Linked DNA regions of Arabidopsis thaliana. The protein of the gene in region 2 interacts with the protein of the main gene of each other region in a pairwise test. Each region holds a gene or a part of one and is shown on either strand. Other genes may lie near its edges.

Evidence for each region. Proteins that work in one complex are often made in the same cells at the same time.
Region 1: the proteins of AT1G54540 (region 2) and CRK31 interact in a protein complementation assay, tested with the Arabidopsis thaliana proteins (one large-scale study listed by BioGRID).

Annotation. Positions count from the first base shown.
Region 1 is NC_003075.7:6,964,325-6,971,660, forward strand, and holds CRK31 (cysteine-rich RLK (RECEPTOR-like protein kinase) 31), read left to right. Parts: upstream 1-3,384; 5' UTR 3,385-3,389; coding exon 3,390-4,347; intron 4,348-4,440; coding exon 4,441-4,562; intron 4,563-4,646; coding exon 4,647-4,857; intron 4,858-4,929; coding exon 4,930-5,167; intron 5,168-5,261; coding exon 5,262-5,415; intron 5,416-5,504; coding exon 5,505-5,837; 3' UTR 5,838-6,145; downstream 6,146-7,336. Other genes in the region: CRK30 (cysteine-rich RLK (RECEPTOR-like protein kinase) 30), read left to right, coding at 144-972, 1,058-1,192, 1,296-1,417, 1,514-1,733, 1,803-2,040, 2,137-2,290, 2,365-2,769; CRK32 (cysteine-rich RLK (RECEPTOR-like protein kinase) 32), read left to right, coding at 7,084-7,336.
Region 2 is NC_003070.9:20,366,010-20,371,769, forward strand, and holds AT1G54540 (Late embryogenesis abundant (LEA) hydroxyproline-rich glycoprotein family), read right to left. Parts: upstream 2,503-5,760; 5' UTR 2,413-2,502; coding exon 1,693-2,412; 3' UTR 1,544-1,692; downstream 1-1,543. Other genes in the region: AT1G54530 (Calcium-binding EF hand family protein), read left to right, coding at 496-879; AT1G54550 (F-box and associated interaction domains-containing protein), read left to right, coding at 3,680-4,768; XIE (Myosin family protein with Dil domain-containing protein), read right to left, coding at 5,640-5,760.

The DNA.
Region 1 (7,336 bases), on a different chromosome or scaffold from region 2:
AAGTTGCCATTGTTTTATTTATATTCTCTATCCATATAATAAAATAATGTTTACAACTTGCTCTTATGAAAGGCATGGTTGTGTAAGTTAGTCTATATTCAGCTTGAGACACTAAAGAAACTCATCTATTCCTTTTTTGGAAAATGCGTCAAAATAATCTCTTCTCATTGATCTTCTGGCTTGTCCCTGTGAGCTTAATTATTGTTGTCTCTGCACAGTTATGCTCGGAGAAGTTTGGAACTTTTACACCAGGTGGTACATTTGACAAGAACCGCCGAATCATTCTCTCATCTCTTCCATCTGAAGTCACAGCTCAAGATGGCTTCTACAACGCTTCGATTGGAACAGATCCTGACCAACTCTACGCAATGGGGATGTGCATCCCAGGTGCTAAACAAAAGCTTTGTAGGGATTGTATCATGGACGTCACAAGACAGTTAATACAGACATGTCCCAACCAGACAGCAGCAATTCACTGGTCAGGTGGAGGGAAAACTGTATGTATGGCACGTTACTATAACCAGCCGTCTTCTAGACCATTGGATTTGGAATCAGTTTCTATTGGTTATAACGTTGGAAATCTCAGCACAAACTTAACAGATTTTGATAGATTATGGGAGCGATTGATAGCTCATATGGTGACTAAAGCTTCATCAGCATCAATAAAATATTTATCATTTGATAACAGTAGATTCTATGCAGCTGATGAAACAAACTTGACAAATTCTCAAATGGTCTACGCTTTGATGCAATGCACGCCAGACGTCTCTCCTTCCAACTGTAACACTTGTTTAAAACAAAGTGTTGATGACTATGTTGGTTGTTGTCATGGGAAGCAAGGCGGCTATGTGTATCGGCCTAGTTGCATTTTCCGGTGGGATCTATACCCTTTCAATGGCGCCTTTGATCTTCTTACGCTAGCGCCTCCACCCTCATCTCAGCTGCAATCCCCACCTCCAGTGACCAACAAAGGTATGTGATTTACTTAAATAAATGATAGAAATAACCCTTCTTGTATTCAACTCTAAGAAGAGCTAGGTGATTTGGTCTTGCACAGATGAAAAAACGATTCATACAGGAACTATCATTGGGATTGTCATTGTCGTTGCAATGGTCATAATCATGGCTCTGCTTGCTCTAGGGGTTTCTGTTTGCAGGAGTAGAAAAAAATATCAAGCTTTTGCCTCAGAAAGTGAGTTCCTCTTGTTTTCTTTCTTATCAGCTGGTCTTGCTGCTAATTTACGAAAGAATTTCACCGACCTGACCATAAAACCACCTACATTTTCATTGTGCAGCTGCCGATGATATTACAACAGTTGGATATCTCCAGTTTGATATTAAAGACATTGAAGCTGCAACAAGTAACTTTTTGGCGAGTAACAAGATTGGTCAAGGTGGTTTCGGCGAAGTTTACAAGGCATTTTCTCCCCAACTACTCTTAAGTTGTATTTGTGTTATGTTTGAAGATATTGAGATAGTGGGATGATTAGTTAGATTCAGTTGTAATATGCAGGGTACGTTATCAAATGGAACTGAAGTTGCAGTCAAGAGGCTGTCAAGAACTTCAGATCAAGGTGAATTGGAGTTCAAGAACGAGGTGCTTCTTGTAGCAAAACTTCAGCACCGGAATCTCGTTAGGCTTCTCGGTTTTGCTCTGCAAGGAGAAGAAAAGATACTCGTCTTTGAGTTTGTTCCCAACAAGAGCCTCGATTATTTCCTCTTCGGTAGTACTAGTAGTCTAATTTTCCTCTTGATCCAATATTCTTGAAATCTTAAGCTTGGATTTGCAAATGGATGTGCAGACCCAACAAAAAAGGGTCAGCTGGACTGGACAAGACGGTACAACATCATTGGAGGGATTACACGAGGGCTTCTCTATCTTCATCAAGACTCTAGGCTCACCATCATACACCGTGACATCAAAGCGAGTAACATTCTTTTAGATGCTGATATGAACCCGAAAATAGCGGATTTCGGGATGGCTAGGAATTTCAGAGATCATCAAACTGAAGACAGTACAGGAAGAGTCGTTGGAACCTTGTTAGTATTCTCCTTATTATTTACAATGGGCACAATTCTCTGATGAACGGTTTTTGTTACTGACTAACGTAAACATTGTCATGTATATATTTGCAGCGGTTACATGCCTCCAGAATATGTTGCGCATGGCCAATTCTCTACCAAATCCGATGTCTATAGCTTCGGAGTATTGATTCTAGAGATTGTTAGTGGCAGGAAGAATAGCAGCTTCTATCAGATGGATGGTTCTGTTTGCAACTTGGTCACATATGTGAGCTGAAATCTAAAATGCTTTTTTTACTTTCTAACTGTGATCATCGATTCTGAATACGAGTTTGTTTGCAGGTTTGGAGACTTTGGAACACTGATTCATCTTTAGAGCTCGTAGATCCGGCGATTAGCGGAAGCTATGAGAAAGATGAAGTCACTAGATGCATCCATATCGGACTTTTATGCGTTCAAGAAAATCCTGTGAATCGACCAGCATTGTCTACAATATTCCAAATGCTCACTAATAGCTCCATTACTCTAAATGTCCCTCAACCACCTGGATTTTTCTTCAGGAACAGACCTGAGTCAGACACATTACGCCGTGGATTGGAGCCAGACCAATATAACAATGAATCTGTTACTTGTTCTATCGACAATGCAACAATCACTACACTCCTCGGTAAAACTCTTGCTTCTGCACTCTGTTGTATTACCTCAACTCTATTTTCAAAGTCAATGTATAGAAACACTGAGGATTGAATTATTTTTGAATATTAAAAGTTATCTCATTTTGATTCTGGTTTATGTATTCACGTTCATTTTTTGTTAAGAATAAATGCTTGGCTCACCTGCCCAATAACATCTTTTTTTGACCAAATCAAGGTTCTCAAAATAGTACGGTGAATGAAATCAAACTAGGCTATCCACTGTTTTATCCTCACATGTTTCTGCTTTGTGTCTTCCTTCACAAAGATGCAGGGACTCAGTATTTTAGACCCAACGGTACTCATTCCTTAATGGAGACTAAGAGATTTTTAAAACAATAGGAACCGACGACTTAAATACTTGTGTTTGGTCATTGCTTGTTGCATTGTGTTTTGGAGTAAGTTAGAACGTTTTGGTGTCAAATAGGGCCTAGAAGAGCTACAGATCAAGAATTGGTCTACGTTCACTTTCATCATATTTACCTAACGTGTTTATAAAGTATTAAATTATCCAAAACGTTGACCTAGGTGACTTGTGCATTAATGCACGTATCCACTACTTGACGAAAATTCTACACGCGAAAGCTGTTTTGACCAAATCAACGTTCCAAAATAAACATTTCCTTTTAAAGATTCAAGTTCTAAGATCTGCAACAAGTATCTGAGCAAAGTAAAATGTCAAGAGAAAAAATGTGTTTGAACACTCTCTGTGCAATCCTCTGTTTTGTCCTTACCGTTAGTTTCGGCTTCGTCTCTGCCCAAAAATGCGGGGAGTCTGTGTTTTTCAGACCTAACGGTAACTATGACACTAACCGTCGTCTCGTTCTATCAACGTTAGCTTCCAACGTCAGTTCTCAAAACAACCGCTTCTACAACGTTTCGGTCGGTGAAGGAGCTGGAAGAATCTATGCCTTAGGTCTCTGTATCCCAGGGTCTGATCCAAGGGTGTGTTCCGATTGTATCCAACTCGCGTCTCAAGGTTTATTACAAACCTGTCCGAACCAGACCGACTCATTCTACTGGACAGGCGACAACGCCGACAAGACGCTCTGTTTCGTTCGTTACTCTAACAACTCGTTTTTCAACAAGATGGCTCTAGAGCCAACTCACGCAGTTTACAATACTATGAGGTTCCAAGGGAACCTCACAGCTTATACAAGAACATGGGACGCGTTCATGAACTTTATGTTCACCCGAGTCGGTCAAACTCGATACCTGGCTGATATATCCCCTCGGATAAATCAGGAACCTTTGTCTCCTGATCTTATATACGCGCTGATGCAGTGTATTCCGGGGATATCTTCTGAAGACTGTGAAACCTGTCTTGGAAAATGTGTCGATGACTACCAGAGTTGCTGCAATGGGTTCATAGGTGGAGTCGTTAACAAGCCGGTCTGCTATTTCCGGTGGGATGGTTATAAATATTATGGTGCCTTCGGTGATGAAGCGCCATCTCAACCCCCCACGCCGCTTCCTCTTCCTCCTCCTCCTCCTCGTGATCCAGATGGAAAAAAGATCTCTACAGGAGTTATTGTGGCTATTGTTGTTTCCGCAGTTATCTTCGTGGTGCTAGTCGCTTTAGGATTAGTTATTTGGAAGCGAAGACAATCATACAAAACACTGAAATATCATAGTGAGTTACTTTTTTTGTTTTTGTTTTTTTATCACTCTCACATTACTTATTGGAATGCATATTAGTAACCATGCATATGTTATATATTTGCAGCTGATGATGATATGACAAGTCCACAGTCTCTGCAATTTGATTTTACAACAATTGAAGTGGCAACAGATAATTTTTCGAGGAACAACAAGCTAGGTCAAGGCGGATTCGGTGAAGTTTACAAGGTATATTTGAGCTGAGCTCTACATATATCTATGACTGCTTGATTTGCTGTGAAAACTAAGAACTTATAAGTTTTTCATATGTAGGGAATGTTACCTAATGAAACAGAAATTGCGGTAAAGCGTCTATCGAGTAATTCAGGACAAGGCACACAAGAGTTCAAGAACGAGGTTGTGATTGTGGCCAAACTTCAACACAAGAATCTTGTTAGGCTTCTTGGGTTTTGCATAGAAAGAGATGAACAGATACTTGTCTACGAGTTTGTTTCCAACAAGAGCCTTGATTATTTCCTCTTTGGTAATAAACAATAACACTTGGTTTAATTTATGTTCATTCATCAAATTTTCTTATAATTATAGTGTAATTTAGATCCAAAAATGAAAAGTCAACTAGATTGGAAAAGACGGTACAACATCATAGGAGGGGTTACGCGAGGACTTCTCTATCTTCATCAAGACTCAAGGCTAACAATCATACACCGTGACATCAAAGCAAGTAACATACTTTTAGATGCTGATATGAACCCTAAAATAGCTGATTTTGGAATGGCAAGGAATTTTAGAGTGGACCAAACTGAAGACCAGACAGGAAGAGTTGTTGGAACCTTGTTAGTACTCCGATAATCTCTTTAAAATTGATAAACCTTTTTCTATTTGTTTGTTTCTGATTAACATAAACCTTTTTATGTTGTATATTTGCAGCGGTTACATGCCTCCAGAGTATGTGACACATGGCCAATTCTCTACCAAATCTGATGTATATAGCTTTGGTGTATTGATCTTGGAGATTGTTTGTGGCAAGAAGAACAGCAGCTTCTTTCAGATGGATGATTCTGGGGGAAATTTAGTGACACATGTGAGCAGAAAACAATTTAAAATTTTACTTTGTTTAGATTGTGACCATCAAGGATTTGGATTCTGAATATGAGTTTAATTTCTTGGCAGGTTTGGAGGCTTTGGAACAATGATTCACCCTTAGATCTCATCGACCCTGCGATTAAGGAAAGCTACGATAATGATGAAGTCATTAGATGTATCCATATCGGAATTTTATGTGTTCAAGAAACTCCGGCAGATCGTCCAGAGATGTCTACAATCTTTCAAATGCTTACCAATAGCTCCATTACTCTGCCTGTGCCTCGACCACCTGGATTTTTCTTCAGGAACAGACCCAATTTAGACCCCTTAACCTATGGATCCGAGCAGGGGCAATCCAGCAGCATGTCTGTTCCTTTTTCTATAGATAGTGCGTCAATCACTAGAGCCACTCCTCGGTGAGATGATTGCTTTTGCACTAGTCAGTAGCATTTTACTTGTAACACAAGCAACTCCAGTTTTCAAAGGTCCAGTTAATTTTTATGGTAATATGGGTACATATAAAACCAAACTTATGTGTAGCCGTGTAGGTAGAGTATTCCTTTCTTGTTTTTTCCCATGGCAAGATGAGAATTTGTCAAACCTCAAATATGATACATTAACCTCTAAGAACAACCACTTACGAACCCATTTTTTTACTTCTTCAGTCATCTATGATAGTCACCAGCTTGCTTATTCAGCTTTTTGCTCCCCCAGATTTTCTATAAAGTGGCAACAAATTTTATTATTTCCCCTGAAATATCCATGCAACTACACTTATATTATGATGATGTTCCAATGATTTTGATCACCAACATTTGTAGATCTCTAAGGTTTTTATGTTTCATCAAACTCTATCTAGCAGCTTCACATGTGCTAGTATATTTGTAACGTCTCTCATCCAAGTCCTCTCTTTCAAAGACTGGTTTTCGCTATTTCAAGAGGCTATAAAGACTTCCGGAAGCACACTTAATTAACTGTGACAGGATGTTTCACCGAAAAGATAAGTGGACTTTGGTGACATAGATTGCCTCTCCGAAGCACTATATACACCACTATATTCCTTTAATAGAGGTGTTACAATATCATCTTGATAAATATTACCAACAACATGCTATTGCTTGAACACTAAACGTATTAACTCATAATCGCTAACGAATTTGAACATACGTCTTGAAATAAGACCAAGAATCGACACAAGCTAACGAGTTCTCCTATATCACGCGTGGTGTGATCTTTAGCGTACATGTCAATGGAATTAAACACACTATCTCCAGTATACCACCAGAACAGAGTTTTAACAGTACTGCAAGTAACAAACCCTTTATATAGTACTGTTTGTATTATAATACTTTAACAGAAAAAGTCCGCAACACTAACAGAAAAAGATTTTATATTTATCGCATTGACTTGACTATGTTTGTCTCAACAACTACTTAACGAAAATTCCTACCACCCATACTTTTTGACTAATCAACATCCAAAATGTTCTAGTAAAACCATTACCGAGCTGACTTGAATATGCTTTCCTCAATTACTTAACAAAATTTCTAACCAACCATGCTTTTTGACAAAATCAACGACCCTAAGTGCTACAGTAAAATAAAATGTGTACATTATTTACAATCTGTAACACATACCTGACCAAAGTAAAATATCCAAAAAAGATATGTGTCTGCAAAATCTCTTGTCAATCCTCTGTTTTGTCCTCGCCATTAGCTTCGGCTACGTGTCTGCACAAAAATGCGTGGATTCAATGTTTTTCAGACCCAACGGTACTTATGACACAAACCGTCATCTCATTCTCTCAAACCTTGCTTCCAACGTGAGTTCTCGAGACGGCTACTACAACGGTTCTGTCGGTGAAGGCCCTGATAGAATCTATGCGTTAGGTCTCTGTATCCCAGGGACTGATCCAAAGG
Region 2 (5,760 bases):
AGGCAATTAAGAATCAAATTTGATACCATTAATGATGCATTTAGTATTTGTGAAATCAAAAACTTTTGTCTAACTTAAAAACTTTGTAATATCATCAATATTTCGTAAGGAAATAAAAATTCATTGTTATACTCAACATGTAAAATCATTTTAACTAACTACACAAAATCTTCTAAAAAAAAATAGGTGTATATGCAAACTAAAACTGTAAATGTGAAGACATTTACATAGTTATCAGAAAATTAACATTAAAATCATATAATTTTCAAGCTTAAAAATAAAATCAACAAGAAAAAACAAAAAACAAAACCAAAAAAAAAAAACTCATAATTTTAAAAGGTAGCTTATATTCTCTGTGGCAAAACATGCACGCAACATATTACTACGTTATCGAATCTTGTAGCATCATTTAACCAAACATCAAAGAAAAACAAAAAAATTCAAAGAGACTTTTTCCAAATTCAGATCTCAAAACACGAATTCGAGAATTCTACGATGATCGAAACAGTAATCACAAGCAAAACTCTAATCGGATTCCTTTCCGATACAAAATCATTCGAATCCATAACCAACGACTATTTCCAGATTCTAGATCTAGACAAAAACGGAATGTTGTCTCCATCGGAGCTTCGTCAAGGTCTCAACAATGTGGTAGCTGTGGAATCTGAGGTCGCTCCTGGAGACGAGACCGATAACGTGTACAATGCGATTTTCGAGAGATTCGGTGAAGATTTGGTTCCAAAAAATTTTAGGGATTTGATTGCAGAGATTTTGACGGCGATGGCGAGAGGTATCGGAAACTCGCCGGTGATTATGGTTGTGCATAATGATGGATTGATTATGAAAGCTGTTCTTCATGAATCTAAACAAGGCAAGTGATGAGATTTTTTAAAGCATTTAGAGCTTTTTATTTTTCTTTTGGGAAAATTTGATTTATAATTTGGTTATGTTTGAATTTTATATACATGAATTAATGTTGTTAATTGATAATGATTACATTGTAATTTCTTCGATTTTTACTTCTTTTTTTACTTGGGATGAATTAAACTCGAGATCGTTTGAATTTTCTCGAAATTTTATATTTCAATTCTATTGTAATTTTCGAAAGTTTTACCATTGAAAAAATAGTATAGATGTGATTCACACTACCAAACCATTCATGCTGAAGTTGATTCCATGCTATGGGCAATAGAATTTATAATCTCGATAGGTGTTACGAGTTGCTCTTTTGCTTTCGACCGTGAAGATCTTATCTCTATTGAAAAACTTTCAGTGTAGCCAACATTTGTAGTTGAGATGACGACATTTGGTTCCCTTGTATGTTTTTTTCCCTCTTCTAGTATTAATTTTCTTTCTCGTCGTTTTAATGTGCGGATCGATTGCCTTGGAAAAAGACATGAGATCGCAATAGGTTTTTTTCCCATGTAAGCACGTCGGTTCCTGAATGACTCTCTCTCTCTCTAGAAGAGAGTCTCGTTCCGACTACTTCATAGAAATTATGTTAAGCGGAAAAGAACCATTCATTTGCAATATTTTGAAATTTCAAAAATCTCTCGTAATTTAAAAAATAAAAATCAATCTTTTATTGAGAATAAAACCATTAATCCAAAATATGAATCAAATGCATAAGAAAATGATGAATTGAGTAATTAACACCAATAAAAAGTAAAAGCGCCTAGATCTAAGAACATCTCAGAGTTTGGCCTTAAAACTGCAATCACTAGCTTTGATGTTGATATTATTGTTCGTTGATAAACTATCAACAACAAGCTTACAACTCCCCAATATCCGAATCTTCTTCATCTTCAGATTTCCGAGTTTGATGGCGACAGGTGCATTCACTTTAAGATCTAACGGTACACGTCCTGTTTGTTGTTGCTGCTGCAATGCCGCCAAGACAGTGTTCCCATATTGCGCTCTTCCCGTTAGAGCCACATTTAGTTTAGTTACATTGCGATGTCCTTGATAAAACCTCGGTATAGGGCCTTCACATAGCTTTGTCTTGTCGTACCACACACCGATATGACCTCCTTTCTCGTAATAAATCCCAATCTTTTCGTTGGGATTACGAGCTGTGATCTCGACTTTAAACTCCGCGGAAAGAGAGAGGTCTAGATTGATTCCAAGGTTGGTAACTCGTAAACTGTTGACTTCGTAACTCGGGAGTTTAGGGTGGAAAACAAAGTATACAACCGCAACCGCAATTGCTAACGCGATCAATGCAATGACTAGAAGGCTTAACACCCAACAAAAGATTTTGCAGCACATATTTCGATTCTTACTAGGAATAACAGGAGGCGGAATCGGCCGTTGAACCGGAAGCAAGACTGTCTTTCCGGGAGCTGGTGTTGTTGTCTTCGTCTTGTTGGCTTCCATTTGAAGAACCGGGTGAATTTTTTGTTGATCTCCCATGGATCTACAACTTTGTATTTAGTAATACTAATGCACCAACATGTATTATATGTACTTTATTTTATATCAAAGTTTTGTCTTGTGAAGTTGTTTCCATGCATGACTTTTACCAACATCTTACCTTCCTCACCTATAACGTTGAATTAATCAGAATATATTAGAAAGACTAGAGGTTGTTCAACAGTTACAGTAATCTTTTTGTATTTAATTCGATAATAAAACAAAAACAATAAATCATTCGGTATATTGGTTTAGTTAGGATGACGACTTTGGCAACATTCCAATGTTTTCAACACATATCTTCTTTTTGTTCATCTCTATGTTCAGCAACAACCCGTATAATCAAATTCTTGAGGAAGAATTTGAAAACTACAATTTTTATGATACATTTCATAACTATCACTAATTTTTTTTTTCAAAAACACCACAAAAGGATTTATAATTTCTTTAAATACATTTTATAGAAAATATTTATAAAGTTATATAAGGTTTTATAAATTGATTCTTGAATGATTTTTTTGTAAGCAATCTCAAAAGAAGAAAGATTCAAACTTATTAAGATAGAAACTAAGAACTTAGATAGATTATTAAAACTTTATGATGCAAGGGTACTGATAGAGAAAATATTACTTCGTTGTCACCAAGAACACTATGATTCGAAATTGATACTCTTATTAAGATGAAGGAAGAGAGTTGTTTTGAGAGGACAACTCTCAAACAAAGTTACCTTCCATGGATGTTCTAACCATAAATTTATATGCTTTTGCTAGCTAAAACTCTAGTTCCATGGGCTAATAGACTTCTCAAAACACTCTATCTTAGGATTCTTTTGCATCCTTTTAAAAAAAAAGTCTTTAGTAGTTTATTTTGAGAAATGGAATCGTAAAAGTGATAGATGTCAAAGTTTCCCAATTAATATATAGTCATCACTCATCTACTCTGGAAATTTATGTTAGTCACATATCATCTGATCTATAAAGAGATTACTAAATATGTGGTGGTGCACTCTACGAACTAAATCAAGAGCTTCGTAGTTTTTAAGTAAAACTGAAAATCAGTTGCTAAACGATTTCGTAATTTTACCATATGATATAGTTAAGGATTCGATGGTTTATTTTTTTCCAAATAATAGGCCCATTTAAAAAATCTGTGCCAAAGCAAAACTTTATTACAAGCCCAACCAAAACACATATACAAACATATTAGGGTACCGAATAGGTCAATGAGACATTAAACTTGTGGAGAAAGCTGAAAACTTGGAGGAAGAATGGCGACAGTAACCGATCTACCGGATGATTTGGTAAGAGAAATATTTTCTAGGGTTCCATTGACATCTCTAAGAGCAGTGAGATCTACTTGTAAAAAGTGGAACGCTATATCGAAATATGACATCTTAGGTAAAAAAGCAGCAGCAAAGAATCAGTTCTTGGAGTTCATGGTTACAGATTCTAGGGTTTGTTCTTTGAGATTAGATCTTCAAGGAATCCGTAGCGAAGAAGATTTGATTGATCTATCTATAAAGCAAATAAGTATACCTAATAAAGTTGATCAAGTCGAGATATCTCAAGTCTATCACTGTGATGGCTTATTGTTATGCATCGCCAAAGACAACTCGAGTGTTATGGTATGGAATCCGTATTTAGGGCAGACGAAATTGATTCAACCAAGAAAAAAACTCCACAGATATGACAAGTTTGCTCTTGGATACGACAACAACCGTAACCACAAAATTTTGAGGTTTCTTTATGAGGGGAGTCCAAGAAACGTCATTATTGATGTTTACGATTTTAGCTCTGATTCATGGAGGGTTCTTGATATTGATATAGATTGGCATGAACTGTTTAGTCACAATAGCGTGTCTTTGAAGGGAAATACTTACTTTTTTGGTCGAAAGGGACCACGTTTGCCTATGCTGTTTAAACCTCCATCTCGTCGTTTTGAATATTTGACTCTATCTTGTGTTAGAAATGAGAAACTCGCTGTGTTATACAGCCACCTCAACAGATTTGGCACAATAGAGATTTGTATTTCGACTAAGATTGATCCCAGTGCAGTATCATGGACCACTTTTTTGAGAATTGATATGACACTAATCAATGGTTTACCGGATAACTTTTTTGTTCACTCTTATGCTACGAGCTTTTTCTTCGATGAGGAGAAGAAGGTCGCTGTGCTTTTCGGTACAAACAGATATAGAGGACGTGAGACCTGTCAGTACTACCAGAGAGCTTGCATCGTTGGAGATAGTGGATACTTCAAAGCTGTCAACATCGAACTAGTTTTCAATTCACAGCTGCAATCTTGCCAACTTGTGAGCTCTTCTTATGTTCCAAGTTTAGTGCAACTGCAAGATTAGTCCGTTTTCTTTAAACATTTTATTTGTTTTTTGCGTTGAACAAGACTGCTTTTAGGTTGAAGAAATAGTTGATAGAAGTTTCATTTTCTATGAAGGCTGATTTTTTTGTTTCTTGCTTTGAACAAGACTGCTTTTAGTTCTAAAGATCACCAGAGAACAGTTTATCTAGGGTTTTCAGGAATTAATCTATAGAGAGTAACAAAGTTTTTATAACAAATGCATGCATGAGGGATCAGCTACATAAATTGCAAGACTTGAATTATAATTAATATGAAGGAGAGTGACTACTATTTATAAATCCGAGACGATAGTTTTCAGTTAGCATTGGTCAATTTTAAAGTTCTTGCAAAGTTCGGGCTTACTGAATGGTCTTAGACATTATATCCAATTCAATGACAGCTCCATTGGAAAACAATTTGATTCCATTTCAAACTTGTTTATGAATGCTTATGAAAGTCAAAGGAGGTAATTAGACAAGTTTGAAACTAAAACAAAAAAAAAAACTTATCCAGATATGCTTGTTCGATAAATCCAGATCTTTTGTATGTATACTGTTTTGGAACTTATTTTAGTCGTGGAAAATTTAGTTTACTATTTTTAACAGCTTTCTTTATACAGACTTATGTTGAAATGTTTTGCAGCACATTTGCTTTGCAGTTCATACATGATCCGAAAAATATGTTGCAAACAAAACAAAAAAAAGTGGCACGGTATAATTTCTGATAAGACCAGGTTAGATCTGCTTCAAAAAGATTGTATTCTTAGTATATAATGAAAAGTTGAACTTATTGTCACCTCTATTCAAAAGATCGAGTAGGATTATCACAACTACACAGTGGTGGTGTAAACTTATTGAACCAATTTATCTTTATTAGTCAGAACATGGCAATAGAAAGCTAAAACCAGAATTCTCTCGGATAAGAGGTGGTGGTTCTACATCTCCGATCTCTATCCGCTCCATCGATTTCGACAAATCATCAACCGAGAAAGGA